Linked DNA regions of Macaca fascicularis. The protein of the gene in region 1 interacts with the protein of each later gene in a biochemical or structural test. Links are inferred from orthologs where the notes say so. Each region holds a gene or a part of one and is shown in the gene's direction. Other genes may lie near its edges.

The links.
Region 2: the proteins of GAS6 (region 1) and TYRO3 form a complex in vitro, tested with the Homo sapiens proteins (2 studies listed by BioGRID). The link is inferred for Macaca fascicularis from reciprocal best matches to the Homo sapiens genes GAS6 and TYRO3.
Region 3: the proteins of GAS6 (region 1) and AXL form a complex in vitro, tested with the Homo sapiens proteins (2 studies listed by BioGRID and IntAct, with this or other methods). The link is inferred for Macaca fascicularis from reciprocal best matches to the Homo sapiens genes GAS6 and AXL.

The regions. Positions count from the first base shown.
Region 1 is NC_088391.1:104,163,818-104,167,463, reverse strand, and holds part of GAS6 (growth arrest-specific protein 6), read left to right. Parts: intron 1-1,862; coding exon 1,863-1,985; intron 1,986-2,824; coding exon 2,825-2,946; intron 2,947-3,646. UniProt on the Homo sapiens protein: Ligand for tyrosine-protein kinase receptors AXL, TYRO3 and MER whose signaling is implicated in cell growth and survival, cell adhesion and cell migration.
Region 2 is NC_088381.1:18,123,010-18,126,655, forward strand, and holds part of TYRO3 (tyrosine-protein kinase receptor TYRO3), read left to right. Parts: intron 1-490; coding exon 491-661; intron 662-2,107; coding exon 2,108-2,194; intron 2,195-2,950; coding exon 2,951-3,066; intron 3,067-3,646. UniProt on the Homo sapiens protein: Receptor tyrosine kinase that transduces signals from the extracellular matrix into the cytoplasm by binding to several ligands including TULP1 or GAS6. Regulates many physiological processes including cell survival, migration and differentiation.
Region 3 is NC_088393.1:48,396,978-48,400,623, forward strand, and holds part of AXL (tyrosine-protein kinase receptor UFO), read left to right. Parts: intron 1-1,861; coding exon 1,862-2,213; 3' UTR 2,214-3,646. UniProt on the Homo sapiens protein: Receptor tyrosine kinase that transduces signals from the extracellular matrix into the cytoplasm by binding growth factor GAS6 and which is thus regulating many physiological processes including cell survival, cell proliferation, migration and differentiation.

The DNA.
Region 1 (3,646 bases):
GGATGGGGCATCCTGCAGAGACTGCACAAGCCCAGGCGAGCCGCAGCACAGGGAGCTACTCGGCACCACGTCAGGATGACTCACCCGGCATCTGAGGGCCAGAACTCAGAGGCCACACTGCTGGCTGCAGGGCCTCGTCCCGTCCCCAGAGCCTCGCAGAGCCTGGGAGTGCTCCAGGCTGTTGTGCAGTGAGCTTGTGGGTCAGAGTTCCAGGCTAGGGTCCCCGCTGCCGTCCACTCTCCCCAGCGTCCCCAGAAGCACCCTGTTGTTGGTCTCCCTCTGTCTGTTCCCTAAATACAGCCCTGCCCTCCCCATTTCCCTTCGTGTTTCAGTCTGGGGTTCCCTCGGCCCAGGGCCAGAGCTGGGGAGCCCCGGGACACCCCAGAAAGTCACTGTGAATGTGCGCACCCCCGATGCTGTCCTGGGCGCTGCTCCTGCCACTGGGGCTTCGCAGGGGGAGCACCTTCCTCCTCCCTCCCGCCTTGGATCTGGACATGCCCAGGCGTGTCCCTGAGAATTTCTGGCATCGTTCTTACTGCTGCTGCTGGCTGTCCAGGACGCCGGACTGCGTGGATGGGACAGACAGTTGCTCAGGGAGAAACAGGCCCAGGAGCTGGAGAGTGAATCTGACCAGACAGGAGGGGCCACACGCTGTCCCCCGATTTCAAAAGGCAGCTGCTATTTGTGTCCACTTTGATGGTTCCCTTCCCTGACCACCCAGGAGTTAGTCCTCTGTGCAGATGATGTGATTCCCATCTTAACACATAAACCCATTTCCCCGTTCAGCTCCTCCTCTTGCCTGGAGGACAGAGCCCCTCCCATCACTGCTCTATCCCTGACCTGGAAGACAGCAGCACCCCAGGTTTAAAGAGAGGTGAAGACACGGTCAATCCTGAGAGATGACGTCTAAAGCACCTCACATGGGTCCCTGCACCAGTCGGGCACTCCGGGCAAAGTCTGGGCTCACAGTTACTGCCCACACTGACAGGCGTCCTGTCCTCTCCTCCTCCCCATCTTCCTCCTCCTCTTTCTTCTCCTCCTCCCCCTGGTCCCCCTTTTTCTCCCCCTCTTCCTCCTTCTCCTTCCCTCTTCCTCCTCATTCCCCCTCTTTTTCCCCTGCCTCCTCCCCCTCCTCCCATCCTCCCCTCCTCCCCCATCCTTATTCCCCCTCTTCCTCCCCCACCACTCTCAACCCCTCCCCTACCTCCTCCCCTCCTCCCCCTCCCCCTCCCTCACCTTCTCCTCTTCCTCTCTGCTTCTCCCCCTCCTCCTCCCCCTCCTCTTCCCCCCTCCTCTTTCTCCCCTCCTCTTTCTCCATGCCCCTGTCCTTGCTCTCCTCTGGTGACTAAAGGTCTTCATTTCAGGGTTGCCCCTTGTACCCCAGGGTGCTTGGCCATAAACAGTGTCTGTCCCACATAGATGTTCAAGTCTTAGGATTGTGGTTTAACCCGGTAGTGAAAATTGATTGAAACCTATAAATGCTTCTCTTTGGGGGTTTTGGTTTCAAATGCCCCTGGTGGAGTTGCTTTTTACTGCCCCGTATCCTGTGGCACCATCATTTAAATGGAACAGCACAGCGTGCACCACCGCCCCCCACCCCTGGACCAAGCAAGGCCCTTCCCAGCTCTCCATCTGCTGGGCTGAAATCAGCCTTCCCAGCCGGGCCTTGATCAGAAGCATGCCCCCAACACCCCAGGAGCTGCCCCGTCAGGGGAGGAGGGGAGGGAATTGGGGCCAGGGCGCGTTGGCCCCACAGAGCCTGGGTGTGATGTCCGGGTGGTGCCCTGGCCAGCCCCTACAGCCACCTGCCCTGGCCCCGTCTGAGATGCTGCCATGCTGAGGTTGGCCGGTCTTGCTTGCAGACATAGACGAGTGTGCAGACTCGGAGGCCTGCGGGGAGGCACGCTGCAAGAACCTGCCCGGCTCCTACTCCTGCCTCTGTGACAAGGGCTTTGCATACAGCTCCCAGGAGAAGGCCTGCCGAGGTACCCACGCCACGCGGTCACCCTCGGGTTCTCTCCTCCTCCTCTGACGCCCAAGCCCAGACACGGGTGCCGGTCACTGCCTGAGCCAGGGCAGTTGCTAACAACTGGGCGCTTCTGGTGAAAGAAAGTCTCTTTCCCTGTTTCTGTGAGCCTGGTAATGGCCTCTTCTACCACCATGCCCCCACACACGTGAGCACACACCCATGCCCCTTGTGCACACGAACGTACCGTGCACATGCATATACACCGCATGTACACACGTGCGTACCCTTCTCCACCTGCGTAGATGGGGCCTCTCCCCAAAGGTATGGGGAGCAGCAAGCCTCCCTCTACTGTTCTCTCTTTTCAGCCGCCATGGGGGGACCCTGTTGGCCGCAGAGCCTCCAAGAGGGGCCATGCCCCCAGTGATGGGAACAGGGGCTGAGTAGGCAGACAGAGAGGGTGGGGAGGCCCAGGCTGCCTGCACTGACCTCCATCTCCCACCACAGCTGTCAGCGCCTCTGTGCTCCCGGGGACACCTCACTGCACAGCCCGGGCCTTGTTCTTCCTAGACCTGCCGTCCACACCAGCCTGGCGGCGGGAGTGGGTCTGGCCCATTGGGAGCGTCCCCCTGGAACACCTGTAGCACTTTCACTCCCTTCAAGAAAGAGCCTGGCAGGAGCAGGCCGAGGGTGCAATCCTAGCTTTCCAATGGGGGCCTACAAACCCCAGGCTGCACCCATTAGAATCTGCACGTAATTCCCCGAGTGCACCTTGTGGTTTGAGCAGTTGTGGTGTGATCCTGCCCCGTACAGTGTAGAGGCCTCCCCCGCTCACCGCCACTTCCCTCTGGCTGGCAGATGTGGATGAGTGTCTGCAGGGCCGCTGTGAGCAGGTCTGCGTGAACTCCCCGGGCAGCTACACCTGCCACTGTGATGGGCGCGGGGGCCTCAAGCTGTCCCAGGACATGGACACCTGTGAGGTAGGCAGCCCCTGGCCCCGCGGGCCTCTCACGGTGGTTCTGGGGGCCCTCGCCGGTGGGGGCTTTCGGGAGAAACGCTTCCATGAAGACCTGGCTTTGGCTGCAGTGTTGGGATCTCCAGGGCCACGTGGAGGTTGGGATGAGAAACGCTTCTGCTCCCTGGAGGACGTTTGGTTGTTATATTTATAAAGTCTCTATATTTATAAAGTCTCTATGGCAACTCCCAACTCACAGTGGACCAGCCTGGTGTGGACCCCAGTGTGACACCCACGGGGCACGGTCCCCACTGCCACGTGCCAGGGAGCCAGCCTGACCGACCTGTCACACCGGGGGGATGTGGTACCCACATGGGGACGCTTCCCGGCAGGGCGGCTCTCGTGTTTCCTGTTCACCCTGGGCCTGTGCCTGGGGAGTTGGCGAAAGTGAGCATTTATTTAAAAAGCAAAACCACGGGATTCCACAGGTGAAACAGCCACCAGGACAGCTTCTCAGAGTCACAGACCTGGGACGCGGCTGTGGGGCTCTTGGGTCTGGGCTGTGATGTTCGGGGCTCCCAGCCAGCCCTTGCCTTGAGGTTCTCTGCCTCACTGTCTCGTGTACTCGTGCAGAGGGCGTTGGGCCCCTGCCAGGCGTCCAGCTCACCCTGGCTGCCCACGGTGGGCGGAGCAGGCCGGCTCAGCCCCAGCCCCAGCCCCTCTGT
Region 2 (3,646 bases), on another chromosome or scaffold:
CTGGGGCCTGGCAGCAGAACTCTGCTAAAGCTCCCACCCACTCCCCTGAGTTTTATGCCCCTCCCCCAGCTCTCCACCCCCAGTCTCCTCTTACTGCAAGAAGAGCTGTCCAAATCTGCCATGCCTAAGGGGGCAGCATGAAAGATGTGTCTAAGGTGCCAGGCATGGTGGTGTGCGCCTGTAGTCCCAGCTACCCTGGAGGCTAAGGCGAGAGGATCACTTGAGCCCCCAGGAGTTCCAAGCCAGCCTGGGCAACATAGAGGGACCTCCCGACCACCAATCTCAAAAAAAAAAAAAATTCCTAAGGAGCCTGAAAAAGAAGGGCACCGCCCACCTCTCAAGCTAGACGCCTGTTCTGCTGTTGACCTAATCGTTAGGGGCCTGTGGGAACCTTCTGCGTGGAGGACTTCAGATGTAAACACACTTGTGATTTGTACAGTAGGAAGCCAAGAGGTGGCAAGGCTCACTCCTCACTCCCCTTCTCTCCTAGGTGTGCCATTTTTCACAGTGGAGCCAAAAGATCTGGCAGTGCCACCCAATGCCCCTTTCCAACTGTCTTGCGAGGCTGTGGGTCCCCCTGAACCTGTTACCATTGTCTGGTGGAGAGGAACTACGAAGATCGGGGGACCCGCTCCCTCTCCATCTGTTTTAAATGTAACAGGTGAGCAGCCTCAGAAGGGGGCTTGGAGTGGAGAAGGAGCTGGGTCCTGGAGGGCACTGAAGCTGGCAGAGTTTCAGCCACTGAGCTTGCGGTTGTGAGTGTCCAGAGCAAGCCCCAGTGTCTGGGGACGTGAGCTGCACCATTACTAAGCTCATTAGTCAGGTGTGCTAGGCTGGCTGGGTGGGCTGATTAGTGGCGATCCTGCTGTGTGTGCTTAAGGAGGGTGTGGGGCCACCTTCTTTGGTTCGCAGCAGTCCAGGCCATGCACAGCTGGCCCTCCGAGATGAATTGTGTGAGACCAGGGGCACCCATCCCCCGCCCCTCCCAAGGGAAGGAGCCAGAAACCAGCCCACGCAGAGCTAGGGAGGAGTATCTGGCAGACACTGAGAAGACAAGACTCTCAGGCTGCAGAGAGGGGAGAGGAGGGAGAGAGAAGGGGTAAGGGGAGGTTAGCACAAAGCCTCCTCCCCTAATGGCACTTTCTGGGAAACCTCCAGACGTTTTCCCAAACAACTGTGTCTGTCCATACGTCTGCACAGTCACACCTGCACACCCACCTGGGCCCCAAGTTTCTTGGGCAATACCCTCACATGCTTGTAAGACTTGCTTATTCGTGAAACAAAGTATACTGTTTCTGGTTGGGGCTTGAACTGGGCAAAAAAATGGGACTCTGAGCTTGGTCTCATGTGCTGGAAGGTGCCAGGGAAATGGGCGCTGAGCTGGGTTCCCCAGCAGTTTGAATCTTGAGAAGAGGTGGACTATGAGACCTCTGGAAGCAAGTGCAGGTCCTGTTTCAGGAGGCGCGGAGTTGGAACAGATTAGAGAGGAGGCTGGGTTCGCTTCCTTCCAGGTGTGCGTGGTTGGGACCCTCAGGCAGGCAGCCTGATAATAAGCACTCACTAAACTCCTACTCCACACCACACTGTGCTAGGCACCACAGGGGACAGCGGGAATACAAAGGAAATAGAAGCCAAAGAACTGAGTATAATTGGGGAGACAAGACACGTGCATAAAGAGCTGAGAACTATTGCAAGGCAGAGAGTCTGCAAATAACAACGCCGAGGGGGCACAGAGCAAACAGAAGGGCTCACTCTGGTATGCGTAATAAAAGAGTGACCAGAAAAGGGAGGCAACTCGTGCTGTGTGTGGGCGATGGGATGGAGGTGGGAGGGTGGTATAACGTTTCCTAAGGGCTTATTCGTGCACTTGACACACATGACCTGATTCCCACAATTCTCCCATTTGAGAGATGAGAAAACAGAGCCCCTCCAGGCTCACCAGACTCCAGTGTCCCTGTTCATTTCACCGTGCCTCACTGCCCAGCCCCTTCCTTTGGCAGGAGGGCTTTAAGGGTGTTCCGACCAGAGCCTGAGTATTCCCCTTTCCCAATCATGCACTGAGTAGGGGTTGCTGCTTGGGGAGCTGACTGAGGTTTTCTGGCCCCAGGGGTGACCCAGAGCACCATGTTTTCCTGTGAAGCTCACAACCTAAAAGGCCTGGCCTCTTCTCGCACAGCCACTGTTCACCTTCAAGGTAGGAGGGCTGGCAGGGAGGAAGGGTGGATGAGGCCAGGGGCATTCCCGGCGAGCTGTCCTGCAGTTAGAATTGTTCTGTGTTCCAGCTCCCCTTGTGGTCCTGCTGGGATCTAGGGAGCGAGGGGTTAATTGGCATAGCTCCCATTCCTAGTGGGAGCACCTGAGACCCTGCGTGGCTGAGATGAGAATAGAATCCTGACGTCACAGCAGATTTCCCATCACGAAGCAGAGTCCTTGGGAGGGAGGGAAGGAGGGAGGGAAGCAGCAGGAGATGGTCAAGGCCCATGCCCAGCCTTGCTTCTGCCCCTCCCTTTGAGGGGATGGGGGTGGGGAAAACAGCCTAGCACCGGATGGAGGAGACCCGAAGGGCTGGTGCACAGAGAGAGGGGGAGGGACAGGGTGTCTGCAGGAGCCAGGCTGTGGCTGCAGGGGCAGCTGCCTGTCTCTCCCTTGTATCTCCCAAGCCTGAGGTGCCGCCCCCACATACCCTCTCATCTTATTCCTCAGTCACACAGGTCCTTCATTGCAGGGAGCGGCAACCTCTCTCCACAGCCCAGGCGCTCTCCCAGGTGTGAGCAGCTGTGCCCTACTGGTTGCTTATTTGTGTACTACTGTGATCCTGGGAGTGCTGAGTAGCTGTCTTTAGGTTGGGGATGCCCTGGACCCTCAGAGAGACTCAAGGCTTGACTCCCATGCCTCCTGCTCTCTCCATTCGTATTCCTACTGGGCACTGATTCTGAGTCCCCGTCCACAGCACTGCCTGCAGCCCCCTTCAACGTCACCGTGACAAAGCTTTCCAGCAGCAACGCTAGTGTGGCCTGGATGCCAGGTGCTGATGGCCGAGCCCTGCTACAGTCCTGTACAGTTCAGGTAGGCTCTCCGGGCTGGGCCATGCTTGTTCTGGCTGCCTGGCCAGCACTTTGTTGACAGGGGTATCACACTCACTAGTCAGCTCTTAGGGGCTTGGTCTGCAGCTCTTTCCAGGTGCTGCTCCTTAGCAGGAAGAGCACAGGCCACTGTCTCTTATCATGGGGTGCTCTGGCAACTAAGTGACTGCAGATTGGCTCAAATTCATGCATTCTTCAGGTTGAAAAGCAGATCACTAGAACAGATTTGGGGTACCTGGAAGGTTTTTCTTTCCTTCTTTTTTCAAGTGATTCTCCTGCCTCAGCCTCCCCAGTAGCTAGGATTACAATCGTGCACCACCATGCCCAGCTAATCTTTTTTTTTTTTAGTGGAGACTAGTAGTTCACCATGTTAGCCAGGCTGATCTCAAACGCCTGACTTCATGCTATCTGCCGGCCTCAGCCTCCCAAATGCTGGTATTACAGGCGTGAACCAGCACACCCAGCCAAGTTTTTCTTACTTAGGTGAAAGCTCAAACCTTTGCTGATACTCACACTGTCATGCTCCGCCTTACCCCCCAACCCCCATTCAAGCCAAAGAGAAC
Region 3 (3,646 bases), on another chromosome or scaffold:
CCTCAACACCCAGGACTCTCTGCAAAACCCTCCAGTTTGTTTTATTGACCTTCTGCAGACTCAGGTCTCCTCTGAGATGTTTGCAGGATCCTTTAGGGAATGCTTATCAAACTCTGCAGTATTAGAGCATGCAGAGAAGGCCGTGACATTTAGCCAGCACTTTGAGGGTAAAGAGAGGAGCCTGGTTGGGTCAGGAGGAGACAGCCTGGGGCTTCAGACTCCTCAGTCCACCTTGGGTACTCCAAGAGCTGAGAGGAGTAAAAATAACAGTTAACTTTTTTTTTTTTTTTGAGACGGAGTCTTGCTCTGTCGCCCAGGCTGGAGTGCAGTGGCCGGATCTCAGCTCACTGCAAGCTCCGCCTCCTGGGTTTACACCATTCTCCTGCCTCAGCCTCCCAAGTAGCTGGAACTACAGGCGCCTGCCACCTCGCCCGGCTAGTTTTTTGTATTTTTTAGTACAGATGGGGTTTCACCATGTTAGCCAGGATGATCTCGATCTCCTGACCTCGTGATCCACCCGTCTCGGCCTCCCAAAGTGCTGGGATTACAGGCTTGAGCCACCGTACCCGGCCAACAGTTAATATTTTTATAGAACTGACTAGAAGGCACTGTTTTAGGTGCCTGGCATGTGTTAGATCATTTGGTCCTTACCACAGCCATATGGTGTGGAGAGGTATCATTACGATTCCCATTTTGCAGATGAGAAAATCCAGTCCTACAGGGAGGGTAATTTATTTTTATTTATTTATTCGCGTCTCACTCTGTCGCCCAGGCTGGAGTGCAATGGCTTGATCTTGGCTCCCTGCAACCTCCCAGGTTCAAGCGATTCTCTTGCCTCAGCCTCCCAAGTAGCTGGGACTACAGGCACGTGCCACCACGCCCAGCTAATTTTTTTTTTTTTTGTATTTTTAGTAGAGATGGGATTTCACTGCATTAGCCAGGATTGTCTTGATATCCTTACGTCATCATCCACCCGCCCCAGCCTCCCAAAGTGCTGGGATTACAGGCGTGAGTCACTGTGCCCAGTCTGGGAGGGCGATTTATTTGTCAAAGGTTGCACAGCTGGTGTGTTTATTATCTATATCCCCACATCGAGTAGTTTAAAACAACAAACATTTATTATCTCCCATGGTTTCTGAAAGTTGGATATTGGGAACAGCTTATCAGAGTGATTTTGGTTCAGGATCTCTAATGAAGTTACAAAGATATCATTGGGGGCTGCAGTCATCTGAAGCTTGGGACTGGAAGATTGCTTTCAAGGTGGCTTACTCACATGGCTGTGGCAGGAGGCTTCAGTTCGTTGCCAGGTGGAACCCTTGGTGGCACTGCTTGATCTTACTCACAACGTGGCAAGACAAAGTGTGAGGAAGCCGCATGCCTTTTATGACCTAGTCTCAGAAGTCACACACGCCATTGCTTCTGCCAAATCAGAAGCAAGTCACTAAGTCCTGCCCATGCTCAAGAGGAGACGATTTATTCTCCATCTTTTGCGGGGAGGAGGGTCAAAGAATTTATGGATCTATTTTAAACCAGCACAGCTTGTAAGAGGCATAGCCAGGCTTTGATGCAAGTCTGCTCTGGTGAGCTGGGAAAGTCTGTTCTAGCAAACCCTCATCAGAATACTACTCCATACCCAGCCAGGTTTCCCAAGACCCTTCCCAGCTCCTGAGTCTCCCAGGACCCAACTCAGAAACTCTTGGGAATTCCCAAATCCCCATAGATGGCTTCAAACTGCTGAGGCTCCCTCCAGTCCCCTAAAATGCCCCCAGTCCCCTGAGTGTCCTAAAACGTCCCCAGGCTCCCAGAATGCCCCCCTTCTGAGTCCCTGCTCAATCTCCCAACCCTCGTTTTGCTGCCCTAGGTATGCCTTGATGTCGCGGTGCTGGGAGCTAAATCCCCAGGACCGGCCAAGTTTTACAGAGCTGCGGGAAGATTTGGAGAACACACTGAAGGCCTTGCCTCCTGCCCAGGAGCCTGACGAAATCCTCTATGTCAACATGGATGAAGGTGGAGGTTATCCTGAACCTCCCGGCGCTGCTGGAGGAGCTGACCCCCCAACCCAGCTAGACCCTAAGGATTCCTGTAGCTGCCTCACTTCGGCTGAGGTCCATCCTGCTGGACGCTATGTCCTCTGCCCTTCCACAGCCCCTAGCCCCGCTCAGCCTGCTGATAGGGGCTCCCCAGCAGCCCCAGGGCAGGAGGATGGCGCCTGAGACAACCCTCCACCTGGGACTCCCTCTCAGGATCCAAGCTAGGCACTGCCACTGGGGGAAACTCCACCTCCCCACTTTCCCACCCCAGGCCTTATCCCCACCTGAAGCCCTATCTTCCTACCTATCCCACCTCCATCCCAGACAGGTCCCTCCCCTTCTCTGTACAGTAGCATCACCTTGAAAGCAGTAGCATCACCATCTGTAAAAGGAAGGGGTTGGATTGCAATATGTGAAGTCCTCCCAGGTATTAACATTCCAAGACTCTAGAGTCTAAAGTTTAAAGAGTCTAGATTCAAAGGTTCTGGGTTTCAAAGATGCTATGAGTCTTTGGTTCTAAGGACCTGAAATTCCAAAGTCTCTAACTCCATTAAAATGCTAAGGTTTTAAGGCCTACTTTTTTTTTCTTTTTTTTTTTTTTGAGATAGAGTCTCGCTCTGTCGCCCAGGCTGGAGTGCAGTGGTGCAATCTTGCCTCACTGCAACCTCCACCTACCAAGTTCAAATGATTTTCCTGCCTCGGCCTCCCAAGTAGCCGGGATTACAGGCACCCGCCACCACACCTGGCTCATTTTTGTATTTTTAGTAGAGACAGGGTTTCATCATGCTGGCCAGGCTGGTCTAAAACTCCTGACCTCAAGTGATCCACCCACCTCGGCCTCCCAAAGTGCTGGGATTACAGGCGTGAGCCACTGCACTCAACCTTAAGACCTACTATTGTAAGGCTCTGAGATTCTGTGGTTTTAGATTTTCTGGTTCTAATATTTTTGATAAGGCCTCAAGGTTTTAGGTTTTAAAGCTCTAAGATTCTGATTTTAGGATCTAAGGCTCTATGATTCTAGATTTTTATTTTTCTAGGGTTCAGAGTCCTTAGAATGTAATATTCTAGATTCTAAAGATTCTTTAATTCTAGACATGGAGGTTCTAAGGCCTAGTGTTCTAAAATATGATGTTTTAAGGCTCTGAGAGTCTAGATACTCTGGCTGTAAGACTCTAGACCATAAGCCTTCAAAATTTTATCTTCTCAAGTTCTAAGATTCTAATGATGATCAATTATAGTTTCTGAGGCTTTATGATAACAGATTCTCTTGTATAAGATCTTACATCCTAAGGGTCAAAAGCTCTAGAATCTGTAATTCAAAAGTTTTAAGAGTCTAAAGATGGAGTTTCTAAGGTCCAGTGTTCTAAGATGTGATAGTCTAAGACTTACTCTAAGATCTTAGATTCTCTGTGTCTAAGATTCTAGATCAGATGCTCCAAGATTCTAGACGATTAAATAAGATCCTAATGGTTTGTTCTGTTTCAAGGCACTTTAGATTCCATTGGTCCAAGATTCTGGATCCTAAGTATCTAAGTTATAAGACTCTCACACTCAGTTGTGACTAACTAGACACCAAGTTCTAATCATTTCTAATGTTGGACACCTTTAGGTTCTTT